Rattus norvegicus: one gene and its partners. The protein of the gene in region 2 binds, or shares a complex with, the protein of the main gene of each other region. Links are inferred from orthologs where the notes say so. Each region holds a gene or a part of one and is shown on either strand. Other genes may lie near its edges.

What was found. The genes of interacting proteins can lie anywhere in the genome.
Region 1: the proteins of Bmp10 (region 2) and Acvrl1 are in contact, whole or in part, in a crystal structure (PDB 6SF1), measured with the Homo sapiens proteins. The link is inferred for Rattus norvegicus from reciprocal best matches to the Homo sapiens genes BMP10 and ACVRL1. Residues at the interface, in NP_055297.1 of Homo sapiens: Tyr322, Asn357, Tyr358, Pro359, Ala361, Glu362, His363, Pro366, Thr367, Lys368, Ile371, Leu375, Leu378, Lys379, Ser381, Lys386; in NP_000011.2 of Homo sapiens: His40, Val54, Val56, Arg57, Glu58, Glu59, His66, Gly70, Asn71, Leu72, His73, Glu75, Leu76, Phe84, Val85, His87.
Region 3: the proteins of Bmp10 (region 2) and Bmpr2 are in contact, whole or in part, in a crystal structure (PDB 7PPA), measured with the Homo sapiens proteins. The link is inferred for Rattus norvegicus from reciprocal best matches to the Homo sapiens genes BMP10 and BMPR2. Residues at the interface, in NP_055297.1 of Homo sapiens: Tyr329, Lys333, Asp338, Ser339, Trp340, Ile342, Ala343, Pro344, Pro345, Gly346, Tyr347, Glu348, Glu395, Pro396, Ile397, Ser398, Ile399, Leu400, Leu402, Val407, Tyr409, Phe411, Ala417; in NP_001195.2 of Homo sapiens: Asp38, Ser64, Tyr67, Leu69, Lys81, Cys84, Trp85, Ser86, Ile88, Gly89, Asp90, Pro91, Gln92, Glu93, Thr103, Thr104, Pro105, Pro106, Ile108, Tyr113, Phe115.

The regions. Positions count from the first base shown.
Region 1 is NC_086025.1:134,126,439-134,131,547, reverse strand, and holds part of Acvrl1 (serine/threonine-protein kinase receptor R3 precursor), read right to left. Parts: intron 4,544-5,109; coding exon 4,397-4,543; intron 4,190-4,396; coding exon 3,914-4,189; intron 3,775-3,913; coding exon 3,577-3,774; intron 642-3,576; coding exon 511-641; intron 1-510. UniProt on the Homo sapiens protein: Type I receptor for TGF-beta family ligands BMP9/GDF2 and BMP10 and important regulator of normal blood vessel development. On ligand binding, forms a receptor complex consisting of two type II and two type I transmembrane serine/threonine kinases.
Region 2 is NC_086022.1:121,427,493-121,433,143, reverse strand, and holds the start of Bmp10 (bone morphogenetic protein 10 precursor), read right to left. Parts: upstream 3,770-5,651; coding exon 3,436-3,769; intron 1-3,435. UniProt on the Homo sapiens protein: Required for maintaining the proliferative activity of embryonic cardiomyocytes by preventing premature activation of the negative cell cycle regulator CDKN1C/p57KIP and maintaining the required expression levels of cardiogenic factors such as MEF2C and NKX2-5.
Region 3 is NC_086027.1:68,734,528-68,739,636, reverse strand, and holds part of Bmpr2 (bone morphogenetic protein receptor type-2 precursor), read right to left. Parts: intron 2,778-5,109; coding exon 2,607-2,777; intron 1,017-2,606; coding exon 846-1,016; intron 1-845. UniProt on the Homo sapiens protein: On ligand binding, forms a receptor complex consisting of two type II and two type I transmembrane serine/threonine kinases.

The DNA of each region.
Region 1 (5,109 bases), on a different chromosome or scaffold from region 2:
GTTTAGCAGAGAGGTTTTGATTCTTGCAAGTGAGGTAAAAAGGTTATAAAATCAGATTGACTGAAAGGTCCGAGAAGGACGAAGGTTCCGCAAGCCAGGTGTGTAGGGGGGAATACCCAGAACAACCCACAATCTATCCAAGAATCAGAGGTTGTAGAGCCAAGATCCTGAACTCAGAAATTCAGCTGAGAATCAATCTCCACCCATGCCAACCCAGCCCCAGCCCAGCCAGCCCAGCCCCAGCCCCAGCCCCGCCCAGCCCCAGCCCCAGCCCCAACCCCAGCCCAGCTCAGCCCCAGCCCAGCCCCAGCCCCAGCCCCAGCCCCAGCCCCCAGCTCCGGCCCAGCCCAGCTCAGCCCAGCCCAGTCCAGCCCAGGCCAGCCCCAGCCCAGCCCAGCCCCAGAACAGCCCAGCCCTAGCCCAGCCCCAGCCCCAGCCCCAGCCCCAGAACAGCCCAGCCCAGCCCCAGCCCCAGCCCCAGCCCAGCCCTGGTCCAAGCAGAGGTCTCACCGGATCTGCTGCCAGTCGGTTAGGGATGGTGGGGGTCTGCTGGTCAACACACACCACCTTTTTCATGTCCTCAAAACTGGGGTCATTGGGTACCATGTCATAGAAGGGTGGCCTGTAGTCCTCCACAATGCCTGGGGATTCAAGGGATGTGGGACAATCACTTGGAACCCAGAGCACCCACAGGATGACCATGCTTGGGGCTAACTGCCTGATTATATTTCTCCTGAGAGCGATCCCGTCCTACAATATAGTAACTGTGCATATAGCTCAGAACTACTGCCTGTGTTCCAAGATTTCCCATTCGTCCTCCTGGTGGTATCTCTGTGTGGTACCACCCGAGTCACAGATGGAGAAGCCTAGAGTCAGAAGCACCGGATTCGTGTTGCCTAGCCAGTCACGGCACAGTCAGGACTTGAAACCCGTTTTTTGGCTTCCTAAGCTGGATCTTATTTTCATCTTGCTCAGCTTCCATTCTGCGCCTGGGTTCCACTGCCTGAGTGATGCCCGATTACCCTAACAGCTGGTGTTCCGGAGCACTTCCGGTGTGTCCCAGAGCACTTCCGGTGGGCCAGAAGGGGTCCTTAGTGCTCTACCCGCAAGCCTCACAGTGGCCTATGGGGACTGTAGCATTGAACCAAAAACAGTAGGTCCAAATGTTCAGAAATTTTGTCTTTAAGGATCAACAGGTAGCAAGCGACAGAACTGGGACCTAAGGCGGAAATCCAACACCAAATTCCTCGATTCCGCTCTCTCAGCAACATTTATGGTAGGGCTGGATGAGGCTCGTACGTAATAAGGGCAACAAAGAGCAGAAAAACACCTCTCCGAGAAGCAAAAGATTTACTCCCTGGTCCAAATAAGATGTGCTTACTGTCAGGGAAGGTTCACGTCTCTGCAGACCCCATCACCAACGGTGTCCCCACCCCATGTCTAGTTATCCCGAGCCATTTCTGAAAGGTGTGCCTGTGGGGTCAGAGGCAGCCCCATGTCTCTTCCTCCTTCCCAACTCCAGGCCGCTTCTGTGATCATGAAGACCAGAACCTCAATGAAGCCTTCAGCAGCTGTTCTCCCCGTGGCGGGCTTCCAGGCTGCCCCTGTGCCGCCGGCGCCCTAATCAGCGATTTGCAGAGGCCTGAGCGTGTCTAATGAGCCTTTAATCAGTGCCGGGGCTGACACCAGATTACAGTGTTTATAATGCGCTAGGAGTCTGTGTGAGGCTGACAGAGCTTCCCCTCCACCCCAGGAGCCTAAGGCAAATCCATCAGCTCCTCCTTTCCTGCGTAGCTAGGCCTACTTCTTTGGTTTCATCCAGGTACCCTTTCCCCAACTCCAGCCACTTAGAGCTGACTCCAGCAGTAAATGCCCCGGGATCAGAACCCCTGGGAGACTCTCTGGTGACAACTGGGTCTCTGCTGTCACAGATGACCACCAAGGAGGAGTGACGTTGTAAAAGGCTGGCTCCTAGCCAGTAGATGCTCAGGAAATGAAAACATCTCTGGTCCCAAGGGGCAGGGCTCTAGTAGTATGCCCGGGATTGTCTGCAAACTTTCAGGACTCCCAGCATCCTTGGCCATAGACAGGCCCCACAAACGCTAACATTGCAGCAGTTAGCTGTCCAGTCAACCTGTGGTCCTCCATCTACCCCAGGGTTAAAAGGCCATTAGCCACAGGCCAGCACAGGGCTGCACAGGGCTACACAAGGCTACACAGGGCTGTACAGGCCAGCATAGGCCAGCACAGGCCAGCACAGGGTTGCACAGGCCAGCAAAGGGCTGCATAGGGCTGCATAGGGCTGCACAGGCCAGCACAGGCTAGCACAGGGCTATGTAGGGCTGCACAGTGCTGCATAGGGCTGCACAGGTCAGCACAGGACAACACAGGCCAGCACAGGGCTGCATAAGGCTGCACAGGCCAGCGCAGGCCAACACAGGCCAGCACAGGCGAGCACAGGCGAGCACAGGCCAGCACAGGGCTGCACAGGCAGGTGCTTCTACAGTCTTTTCAAGTTATGGTCTCCTGTGGCAATCCACTGTGATAATGAGGCTGCAGTAGGCAAGCAGCACAGAAGCCAGATAGCTTACACATGAATGAAGAAACCAAGACCAACATTTAACTACCACAATAACAGACAGCACTGGCCCAGAATCAGATGGCCTGACTTAAGATAGCCAGCCACAATCATGCATCTCTGTCTTTTCTTTTAGGAAGTGGAATAATAATATGTAAGTGCTCTTTCATTATGACCACTAATATTTAGCTCTAGGCACGGTTTGCCTTTCTTCTCTGTGTAGTCCTGGCCGATCTGAAACTCAAGGCTGGCCTTGAACTTGTAGCAATTCTTCTGCCTATGAGTACTGAGAATACACCAGCTTGTAGATATTGTTCTAAATACTTAATTTGGATCATGTCTGCAACAACACTTTTTTTTTCCTCCTAATTTCACAAATGAGGAAGGAGGCACACCAGGGCTAAGTACTCCCTGTCAGGACAAAACCTGAAACTGAGTCCAGGCAATCTGACTGGCCAAATGCCAACTCTTACCAAAATAAGAGACTTCAACAAGTTAGAGTATACATTGTGACACATATTTAAGCTCCACAAATGCTAGCTAGCTTAGCTGCTTCCCTGCCCCGCCCCTATGCTCAGGATCAAAACCTATGGCATTGAACATGCTGGGCAAGCATTCTACCACTATATTTCCAGCTTTGAATATTTTTTTTTTGTCTCTAACTCAAGATTTCAAGGCCACATCCACACCCTCCCAGGTTCAGATGAGCCTTAAAGTCCATCTGTGCTGAACTAGGCGATTCATAGCAGTAAAAGAAAACTAGGAGCTCTAACCTCAAACCATCAGGTCAAGGGCAGAAAAGACCAGCCACCACAGAAAACCAGGTCTCCATATATTTACACACATACGCGCATCCGTGTACACACACACACACACACACACACACACACACACACTTATGCATGCATGCATGCATAGACACATACACATATGCACACACACACAGATACACACATGCATGCGCGCACACACACAACCTGCATACGGTGGGCTCTCACCATTGATGATGGTCCGCCGGGCAATCTCCCATAGCACTAAGCCGAAGGCCCAGATGTCTGTCCACTTGTACGACTCAAAACAGTCTGTGCGGATCTGCTCATCCAGCACCTCGGGTGCCATGTATCTCTTGGTACCCACTCGGGGGTTGTTACCAATGTCCAGGTAATCGCTGCTTTGCGAGTGCATCACAGCCAATCCTGCGGGTGTTTGGCGTGTCAGTCCTGCAGGGCTCCCACACAGGGTGACCACTCCAATTCTCTCCCGAACAAAAACAGGCAGAGCCAAGCATGCAAGCCCCGCCCTCAGGTGAAGCCCCACCCCCTCTCTCCTGCTCACCCAGGTCTGCAATGCAACACTGCAAGTTGCTCTTGACCAGCACGTTGCGGCTCTTGAGGTCACGATGGGCGATGGCTGGTTTGCCTTGAGTGCCAAAGATCTCTACATGCAGGTGCGCCAGGCCGCAGGCCGCGGACACAGCCAGCCTCAGGGCCAACTGGGGCTCCAGCGTCTGCCTCTGCAGAAAGTCATAGAGGGAGCCATGCTCGTGGTAGTGGGTGATAAGCCACAGCTGCGTGCTGGAGTTCCGCGAGGTCATGTCGGAGGCGATGAAGCCTGTAAACAGAAGGGTGTGACCAAAGTACCCAGAAGGAAGGAGTGGTGAGAAGGTAGAGCTGCTGAGGCACAGAAGGGGTGGGGCAGAGACCGAAGGCTGAAGCTGGTCTGGGAGTTACATCAATGCCCAGTTCGGTGTATTCCAGCCCTGAGTTGAGGGAGTTGGGGTGCCTTGGCCTGGGAGAGCAGACATGTCCCCTAGCTTGCCTAGGATGTTGTCGTGTCTAAGCAGAACTGTGTTGTAGATCTCTGTCTCCCGGAACCAGGACTGCTCATCTCGTGAGGAGAAAATCTTGACCGCCACACTCTCGCCATGCCACGAACCGCGCCACACCTCGCCATATCGGCCCTTTCCTAATCCGTGGCCAAGGGAAGAATAAGGACCACGCACTAGACACACATAGTCCTTAAAAACCCCCACCCCAATTCCGGATGCTATGAAGATAGATCCCCTCTGCAAAAATCCGATTTTATTTATTTTTAACTTTTTTTTTTTTTTAAGTATAAGGTCTCATTTGTCTTGCTGATTTGGAACTTGCGATGTAGACCAGGCTGGCCTTGGACTCACAGAGATCTGCCTGCCTCTGCCTCCCTAGTGCTGGTATTAAAGGCATGTGCCAAAAACCCCAGCTGCCTTCTAGATCACAATATTTTTCATTTATTTATTTATTTATTTATTTATTTATTTATTTATTTATTCGTGTGTGTGTGTGTGTGTGTGATACACACTAAATGGGATCACATGTGGAGGTCAGAGGACAATCTGAGGAAGATGGTTCTCTCCTCTCGACGAGTACGTCGCAGGGATTGGATTTGGGCCATCAGTCTTGGTTCTAGTGCCTTCCCCTGCTAAGCCCTATGGCTCTCCTCAAACCTGAAAATATACCTTTATTAACATCTTGTCCCAGCTTTGGGCTACT
Region 2 (5,651 bases):
CACATTACCTTGCTACCTTTGCTAGCAGTCAGTGTGCAGTTGGGCACATACAAACCACCGGGACTTCACACAATAGCTTGTTAAAGGTGCTTTATATCAGAAGCATGTCTCCAAATACTTCTATATTGACTTTATTTTTAAACAGTTCTCACTGCATGGCCTTGACTGGTCTGTAATTCACTGTGTAGAGCATGTTGGCCTCGAACTCGAAAACTAGTCCTCTAGTGTTTGTTTCCTGAGAGACATTGTAAGCATGTGTCACTGTGCCTGGCCCGATATTAACTTTTTACGTGAGAAATTTACAGAGAACCCAAAGCTCCTGTGTGCTTGTGCTCCAGATGGTTTGCTTGACAGAGTATCCAAGGATTGTGACACCGAAGATGTCAGAGACCTGCCAGGAGCGTTCTCTATTGTCCTTTCCCTAACCTTTCCCTAACTCATGACCTCAGTGGAGTCTCTGATCCATGTTGTGCTTGATATCTTCTTTAGTTGATTGCTTTATATCTACTCTGAAAAGAGCTAAAAGGCTTGCCCGTAAGCTCATAGTCTTATGGGCTCTCAAATGTACATAAATAAAACATGTAGTTATTGTATGTGTCTCACAGCTTCCTCTGGGTGCTAACTGAAAGCATCTTCTCAGTGGTGTGGGGGATACTGATTTATGGGATTGCCCTAACCTCACAGGTGTGGCCAGGGCAACTGTAACCAGTGCTTAAAATTTCAACCAAGCCATGACTCCCGTCCATTCTCCACAGTACCCAGAATACCACAGCTGCTTCATGGGTATTTATGGATCAATTGAATGAGCATTTAACCCTATTGATTAGTAACTTTCCCTCTAAAAAAAAACAAAACTCCTTCCTTCTTTGTTGTGAACCTTTGAAGATGTTCTGATTCTTGAAGAGAAAGCCATCTTCCTTCATATCCACGCTCCACCTTTGGCCTCCCTTTTGAGACATTGGTGCCTTCGAGTCTCCCTCTGAAAGTTTATCCCACTCTGCACTTGCTGTCATAGAAGATCAAAAATGGGAGGACAGGTTCGTTGCTCCTCCATGAGAGAAGCAGTTCCCCTCAGGAATGAAGGAAGCCTTGGGGGAAGTGGGCATGCTCACTGTCTTAGCCGAGGCAGGGGCTTCGGTGGATGTTTACACACAGAAGCACCTAAATTATACATGTTAAATATATCATAGTTCTATGTATATCAGCTATAATCCGGTGAAGTTATACTTTTTAAAAACTAAGCTCACATTAGAGCTTGGACAGGAGGCTTGGACAGGAGGGTGGGTGAGCTTGAGCCAACCTCACCTACACAGCAAAATATGTCTCAAAAGAAATTAATAGTTTATAACTTAAAAAAAAAACCTTAAATATGAGTATTTCAAGGCCAGCCTGGGCTACATGATGAGTTCAAAGCCAGCTTAAAACAAGACAACACAGCACAACATACATGCACCAACCAACCAACCCTTAACTAACTAAATAAAACTACCCATAATTATTTGCATATGTAACACTAGATCATGGAGAAGTCACATTTCAGGGAAAGAAAAATAATGTCCTCCACACGTTTCACATGCAGGACTTTCTGCAAATTGTGTGGCTGTTACAATGATCCCCAACAATGCACACATGGATCCTATTCTAGTTGTGCACCGGAAGAAATCAAACCATCGAGTGCATATCTGACTTCCTAGACAATATGGAGAGTGGAGCCAGGCTAAGAACTGAAGTCCCGGGTTGGGGATTTGGCTCAGTGGTAGAGCGCTTGCCTAGGAAGCGCAAGGCCCTGGGTTCAGTCCCCAGCTCCGGGGAAAGAAAAAAAAAAAAGAACTGAAGTCCCGTCTTCTGCCTTGCATGCTGCACTAGTTCAAACACGAATTAGGTCTGGAGCCCTCTGGGTCATCGCCTAGGGCACAGCACTGAGCAAACACAAAAGGTGAGTATGTGGATGACAGCAGCCAGCAGGGAGAGTCTGCTGAGGGGACACAGGTCCTCTGCTGTGTGAGTCTTCCTCTAGGCTGGCAGAGGTGCGAGGGGTGAGTAGCTGGGTGTCTCCAAGTCTGAGGCTTCCCCATGGATCTCCAGTAATGGTAAGCTGGGTCACATCCTCAATGTTATCACCTGCTCTTCCATGGGAGAAGCAAGGAGCATGCATTCCCACCGTGCCCGAGCTAGACCATGGCTCAGAGCAGGAATCTGAGGCAGGCTCCTTGGGAGGTTGCTCTTTTTCTCCCAGACTTGCCTCCAAAGGAATCTGAAATTTCAGTTCACTGTTTCTACCAGAAATATGTTACTAAGTGGACATGGTGGTCATAGGTTGAATTCTAATAGCAAATACTATCTTACTTCCTCACTCAACCACTCAACCTTCACTCTAGCTCCTAGAATATTAGGCAATTCATTGAAAGTCGCCATGGTTTGTCCAGCATTTCCTTACCGTGAGCCCTCGCTTACCCAGAGCTGCCTGTGATTCCCTCATCTGCACCAAGCAGCTTCTGCTTTACAGGAGGAAGCAGAGGCTACAATCACTTAGACCAGCTCCTCACAACTTCCCAAAGCCGCTAATGCTCGGCAGCCCTGAGCGGTTTTGTGCCACCGCCTTCTGCTTCCAAGAGCGTCTGGTAAATATTCTTCAAATCTCGTTTTAGCTCATCCAGGGACACAATTAGTAAATAATTAAGAGCACAATTAGTAAATGACAAAGAGCCATTTTCTTTATATTCATGGTCTCTGCTGTCAACATTATGTTTTTCTACTGCCACATAAACCTAGCATTAGCTCACTGACTCATTTAGAAATCTGAGGGGAGTGAACAATTTGAAATATGTATATTGCTCTTCATAGAGATCCAGTCACAGTCCGCCGCACCTGTGAACTTCCTGGAGTCTTATTATAAGCAATGCTCCACATGGGAACCTGGTTTATCAAACACAACACAACATGAGAAGAATCTCCCAAATACAGTTCTGTCCTATCAGGACACTGACCAAATGAAGTCAGAAACAAAAACTCGCCTAGAGTTGGAACCAACTAAAAAGCCCAAAATTTCTTTTTTTTATTGTTTTCATCATTTTTGATCTAAAAAGTAATTGACTAATTCTTATCAACACCAGGTGGAAATCGAGTCCCGTCTAGAAAGTGGCAGAGGAGATGGAACGACAGATCGACCTTTATGGTTTTTTGATATGTAGTGTCCAGATTAAAATGACATCGAGAACCTGTTGTGCTATTAAAATGATGGGCCTTTTGTGGGTTTTCATTGGTAGATACTTTACAGCATTTTTGGAGTTCTAGGAGGATCGTGTGGTGCAGCTGATGCACTGTGTCTGAGCCATGGGTTTCCCTTTCCCACCTCATCCCCATGTGGACGCCTCCTTATTTCTCCCTGAGAAAACGCAAAGACAGTCTCCTAGGTGCAAACGCCAGCCAGCCTACCTTCATTCTTGAAGCTCCGGATGATGTTAGCAGATGGCATGGAGGTCCGGTCCGTGGCGAATTTGTTGTAGAGCTCCAGCATGTACTCCGGCGGATCCACTCTGCCTGTGTCCTGTGGGGGAATGTCTGACAGATTCAACGTCTTGAGAAACTCGTCCTTCATGCTCTGCAGCAGTGTGTTGAAGTCAATACCATCTTGTTCTGTGAAGATATCATCAAAGAAGGGCATGTCTTCTTCCAGGGGCGACTGCTCAAGGCCCATGATGGGGCTGCCAGAAGCCAGACGAGCCACCAGGCAGAAGACGGCGCTCAGCGGCAGAACCAGAGAACCCATGACTCTGCTCAGCTCCCCAGGCCAACCTAGGAAGGCTTAACTCCCCTGAGCTGCAACTGGCGGTTTTATCTTGCGGAGTGTAAATGTCTTGTGTCACTGGACACGACACAAGTATGGAAACTCTTCCTCTGTCTTCCCCTCCCCCTCCTCTCTCTCTCTCCTGCCCCTCCTCCCCCTCTTCCCCGCCAAAAGTCAGGTTGCAGTAATTGGTTAGCAAAATCCCCTATAGGGCCTAGCCTCTCTTATCTCCCCAGTGTAAACTTGTACACCAGATTTCATTTTTATCTTGCAACCCCCCTTTTCTTTTAATGAGCATTTTGTAAACACTTCTACATTCTGACACTGGTGAGAGATAGGACAATGTTGTCTTTGCAAAGGCTCTGCTACTTTTCTTCCCGTTTGACTTCCTTTGGTAGGAATGCCTGGATTCTGGGCTTATGGGATTCAGTTTTGCACGTGTGTATGACAGATATTAAGAATCAACAGAATGTTTATTATTAGTCATGCGTGTTGATTCAAGTGATGGGGCTTACATGTCCAAAGATGGACTAAATAGACATAGCCAATGACGTCAAGTCAAGGAGACATCGATCACTCCTAAACAAATTTTGAAGCATTTGCTTTCAGAAACAGGAAAGAATGAATGTCATGGTCATTTCTTCTCTCTCTCTCTCTCTCTCTCTCTCTCTCACACACACACACACACACACACACACACACAGATTTGATCAGTCTGAAGGTAAGCACCTGATTACAGTCAGTTTTGGAGTGGAATGGAGTGAAGACGTTTTCAGAAACCATCTAACATGCTTTGTCTGATAACCCTGTTTTCATCCCTGTCAGGTGCACAGACTCCTGAGGTCCCATGGCTGATCGGAAGCCACTGACCTGTGCAGTCATGAAGCCTTGAGTTAAACCCAGGCAGTCTAATTATTGTGGAACAGAAACGTCCAGACTTTGTAACCCGGATTCCATTGGATCAGGAATGGATGGAAATAGCCACCCCAGCCCACTTGTACCGGGTAGTCAGTGAGGAGGCAGGTACCTGGATGTGGATTCAGGTCCTATGCTTGAGATATCGATTATTTACACGACCTGAACCTCTGTCAAGTTCACCTTCAAGGCTAAGCCCAAAGCTCCACCAGCTTACACATAGCATTACTAAAGAGATAAAAAATGCCAAGCATCTTGGTAAGGGGAGGGGTGTGGGGCTGGTATAATTGAGTATGTGTCCAGTTTAGGAGTAACAAACCAGGCTGACCATTGAGGCCATGCTAATTGGTGGCAGCGGGAGGCACGGTGCTGACACAGTGGCTTTGTAGACAGCTCTAAGGGGTTATTTCCTGCAGGGACAATTATAATGGAATCTCTTCCGCCTGCTCAGTGCGTTCTCTGTGCAATTCTTCAGGCAGCCTCCTGTGTGTTCTGAGGACAGTGCCTAAACCGTTGGTGTGCTAGAATGCCCACTTAGAGTCTTGGTTAAGCTTTTCTTCGCTCTTCTTAATAGGCTAACTGATCCTCACCATTCTCACTACCTCCTCTAGTTCTAGTCGCCCTTGGATTCTTTCTCCTCTTTCCTAGATTTTCACAGTAGGTTTTTGTTTTGTTTGTTTTGTCTTGTTTTCAGCTGTCTTAGGAGGGATCATGTCTTTAGTAGCTGCTGATTGTCTACTTGTCTGGCAGTTGATTGAAATCCAATGTTTCGGTGCCTGTTTCTGCTCAGGTAGCAAAATGGTGATCGTAGATTGGAAATAGATCGATCCTGAGGAGGTGCATGAATGGTGAGTCCCAGACCCACAGCCCACTATACCACCAATGAGGTTAATGCGAGGTTCCGGGAAGCAGTGCAGCAATTCTCCTGGATCATGTGCTGATCAGGACA
Region 3 (5,109 bases), on a different chromosome or scaffold from region 2:
ATACTGGCTGCTGTCTGATTCTTGAATTAGGATTTCTCTTTATTTCCCACACTAGACTTGAATATATGACCTCAAGTGACCCTCCCTCCTTGGCCTCCAGAATGAGTGTGGCTATAGACACAAGCCAAACTAAGTTATAGTTTCTCTCTCTCTCTCTCTCTCTCTCTCTCTCTCTCTCTCTCTCTCTCTCTCTCTAATTATTATGGTTGTTTTATTTTGATTTTCAGACAGGGTCTCACTGTGTAGTCCTGGCTGGTCTAGAACTTGCTATGTAGACCACATTGGCTTCAAACTCATAGAGATCCATCTGCCTCTACCTCCCAAGTGCCAGGATTAAAGGCTTGCACCATCACACTCATTTGCTATCACCAAATTCCCTTCCTTAAGAGGGTTTGAAGGGGGCTGGGGATTTAGCTCAGTGGTAGAGCGCTTACCTAGGAAGCGCAAGGCCCTGGGTTCGGTCCCCAGCTCCGAAAAAAAAAAAGAACCAAAAAAAAAAAAAAAGAGGGTTTTGAATTTTTTGTTTGCTGAGACATGGTCCTTTTATGTAGTCCAGGCTGGGTAAGAACTTACCAGTTAGCTCAGACTGTCTTGAATTTACAATCCTACTGCTTTGGCCTCTGGAGTTCTGGGATTACAAGCACACATCATAACGCCAAACAAAGGGAAAATCATGTCTTGATTCAGACTTACTTGATAATAAATACACCAAAGCTTTGCTGGTGCTGGTATATTACTTTGGAGATTTTAGGTAAATTTTTACTAACCTTGAATGTTTATCCGTTATGTTTTCAAAACTTCTAGAACAAGGAATTATTAAAAAAAAAATTCCTGTTAATACTTACTGAGTGGTGTTGTATCAGGAGGTGGGAAGTTCTCAGTGAAGTTGACGTTACATAAGTCTGTACTACAGCAGCAAAAACGGTATGTTCCATTCTGAATTGAGGGTGGGGTGGTAGTTACTACACATTCTTCATAGTGGCACTCTTGGGGATCACCAATGTGAGACCAGCACCCTACAGATCAATATTAAAGCAAGTTAGGAAACAGTACAGTAAGGAAAACAACAGATTATGAAGTAACTGTAGCAGCCATATAAAACTAAGTAGTACAGTCATAAAGAAACTGAGTGAAAATGGTAAAGGGTTCCACAGACATCTCACGGGGAAGGCAGCCAACAAAGCGATTACCATTAGCTGCGCCATTACTATGAGAACTATTGAAGAAAGAGCACTTAGATTTAAATCGTCTCAATTAAAAAATTAATGGAATCGTAACAAAGATTCAGTGACAGTCACTCTCTTACAATTCTGTAATCAGTTTGTGTGTTAATTTTGGAAAAATATAGCAATTTTAATGTAAAGCCTTTAAAATAACCATATATTTTTATGATCTATTAATTCTACATTAAAGAATCTACTTTTAAAAAAATGAGAAAGGGGCTGGGGAGTTAGCTCAGTGGTAGAGCGCTTACCTAGGAAGCGCAAGGCCCTGGGTTCGGTCCCCAGCTCCGAAAAAAAGAACCAAAAAAAAAAAAAAAAAACAAAAGAGAGAAAAAAAAGCAATCAGACACAACTTTTATATATGTTTGAAGGTTTCCATTGCTGGATATGCATTTCAGTGAAAACCTTAAAACAGCATAGTGTTCAAAGCGTTTATGTAAACCGTAATACATATACACAGTGAAATATAGTGCTGAGGTACACATGTCTTCAGAGGGCATTTACAATAACATGGGGGAAAAGAGGTTGGAATAATATAACATTATTCTAATTTTAAAAGAAGACTGGGACTCATATAAATATTAAAATACATGAAAAATGTACCCAAGGGGGGGGAATCAACACAAAACTTTTTTTTTTTTTTTTAAGAAAAGTGAGTTGTAGACCTTGGTTTTTCTAAATAGTTTTTTGGGTTTTTATACAAACTTCATTCACAAACATTAACTTGTAAAGAGAAAGACATTATTAAAACACACTAAAAGGCTAGGCACAGTGGAGCATGACTTTAGTCTCAGCACTTGGGAAGCAGAAGAAGGCAGATCTCTGTGAACTCCAGGCCTGCCGGGCTACACAGTGAGACCCTATTTCAGCCAAGCAAGCAAATGAGCAAACTAACTACATACACTAAAAGTAAACTTCCTTTTATGAATTTGGAGCTTGTGGGTGAATTATAGATATATTTATGTGTTTATCTTATTTACTGGATAGGATTTCAATCCACCTACATGTCCTTTCTAGATAAGTTCCAACTGTATGAAAACAATGCTAAAGATATAGCCCTGCGCCAGGGAGCTTGCCTATGTGCAATGGTCTGTGTTTGATTCTCAGCACCCAAAAGAAAAAAAGCACAAAAGCACAAAGCAATTAAGTAAAAAAAAAAAAAAAAAAAAAAAGGTGTTACTTGGGGACTGGAGAGATGGCTCAGCTGTTAGAAGCACTCACTGCTCTTCCAGAGGGCCCAGGTTCAAATCCCAGCATCCATATGGCAGCTCACAAGTGTCTGTAACTCCCAAGATCTGACTCTCACACAGAGATACATACAAGCAAAACACCGATGCACATAAAATAAAAAGGTAAATAATTTTTTAAAAAAATATTACTTGCCTTGTTTCACAAGATTGATGTCCCCTTTTGATTTCTCCCACAGACCATAACATGTGCTCCCTTTGGAGCATAATATTGTCCCATTTTCATGAGAGATTCGACTCTCACCAATCCCAAGGTCTTGTTGATACGGGTCTTTAAATGCACACAGCCGTTCTTGATTCTGGGAAGCTGAAAAACAGAGCAAAGAACACAATGATAAATTGATGTTTCTTTGATAATACTACTGATTAAAATAATCTTTAAGATTTCATTTAATAATATATGATAATCTAATTTAAGTAAGATTATAAATTTTCCTGCTAAATTCTTCAAATTTAATTGTTGAATAAATTTTAAATTTTACATTTACCCAAAAATTTTCTGTTTCAAGATTTATGTTCATTTTTTTAAGCGTGTGTGTGCATATGAGTTCAGGTGCCCACAGAGGCGTTGGATGCTCCTGTAGCAGGAGTTAAGGTGACTGTGAGCTGCCTGGCATGGTTGCTGTGAACTGAACTTGGGTCCTCTAGAAGAGCAGTACACTTGCATTTAACTACTGAACCATCCTTTTATCCACACCCTCCAGCAATTCCCTTTGGACATTAATTTTTATATCCAAGCAATAAGAATTTAAAGAAAGTATATTCCCTGATGACAGACTTTTACACATATAATTCTTATCATTCTTTCTATTATTAAATATGTTTTGCTGTTCAAAAAAAGAAATACCATCTTCTGCAAGGGCATGGTGGTATATACCTTCAATTCCAGCAGAAGGACAGGGAAGGAGGCAGAGGCTGGTGGATAGCTGTTAAGTTCCAGGCCAACCTGGTCTACATAGTGACTTCCAGAAGAGCAAACGAGAGAGAGAGAGACAGAGAGAGAGAGAGACAGAGAGACAGAGAGACAGAGAGACAGAGAGACAGAGAAATACCATGTTCTAAACTAACCTTTAAAACCAACACAGAGGAGGCCAGGCATGATATTGGATGCCTTTAATCCAACACTTGGGAGGCAGAGGCAAGCAGATCTCTAAGTTACAAACCAACTTGGTCTACATAGCTAGTTCCCGGCCAGTCAGGCTATATAGAGAGACCGTGCCTTAAAAAGTGAACAGTCAAAAACAAAAATCCGGGCTAGAAAGATGGTTCAGTGGTTAAGAGCACTGACTGCTCTTCCAGAGGTCCTGAGTTCAAATCCCAGCAACCACATGGTGGCTCACAATGAGATCTGATGCCCTCTTCTGGTGTGTCTGAAGACAGCTACAGTATGTGTGTATGAGTGTAACATATATATAATAAATCTTAAAAAAGGAAAAGAAAAATCCTAAAAGCCCAAGAATTCTGAGCAAAAAGAAAATGATTTTATTTTGCTTAAAACAGCCGGACAAAATGTACAGCAGCTCTTCAAGGAGTAAGGTAGTTGTTCCTTAGTTTAATGCCGACCTGTGTTTCTTCATCTATACTACGTGATTTAGCTGACTCCAATAAAGCATTTGTCACGTGACTCACTGATTAACAAACACTAACCAGCACTGTGAAAGTACCAAGGAGGTAAAAGGTTATCAAAAGCACCATCTGATCTTTATTTAGGTTTTTTAAAATAGATTTTTCTAATATGTCTGAGTAGGAAAGATAATCACTAAACATAATCAATACTTTCTTATGACCTTCTGAATCAGTTCTTTATTTGACGTGTATAGAATTGGAATAGTATGATTCAGGAACACTTTACAATACATATTATTTATTAAATTAATGTTTCTGGACATAATTGAAGCACAGAAAAGGAATGACAGGCTTAATGACTCTGTCCACCCAGTTTACATAAATAGACCTGCTACATTTATTGCTATGTGAAGCACTTTCAAAGTACGAGGTCAAGTAAGCGGAATGTTTACAAGTAGGTATATAGTATTGCGGTTATCAAATTTTCATAATATAGTTTATTCTGACAAACCAAACCACAGATAGTAATCAATGAAAAACAAATGTGACTTGATGTATATATTTTAAACTACTTTTAAATTCTAGAAAATACCAATACCATCTAAAGATAAATATATACATGAAGGAATATATATTTACATGAAGGAATATATATATATATATATATATATATATATATATATCCATCCTTTGGAGAAATATCACATTTTAAGAAGAAAGGACATCGGGAATAAGGGTTCTATTTAAAACTATAGTAGCTGCTCACGAAATGAGAATGCAGACTCTGACAGTCCTTTGTATCTTTCAGGAAAGATCAGTGCGCTAAAGAAGGGAAGTGTTTTCAGAGACTGCTAAAAGCCAAGAAAAGGAAAATCAATTTGCAGTTCAAACAAGAGTTCTAAGGCATCTGGCAACCTGAGAAGGAATAAAGTGAAAGTTGAAACTGGAATAAAAGAGGATCGTTGTTTCCATGGACAGTGTTCCCCCGGGGTAGTAGAGGGACTGAGGCTTAGTACCAGTCCGGCACAGGAAAATGACACCGTGACTAAACACAGCCCAGCTCCTTCCTGAAC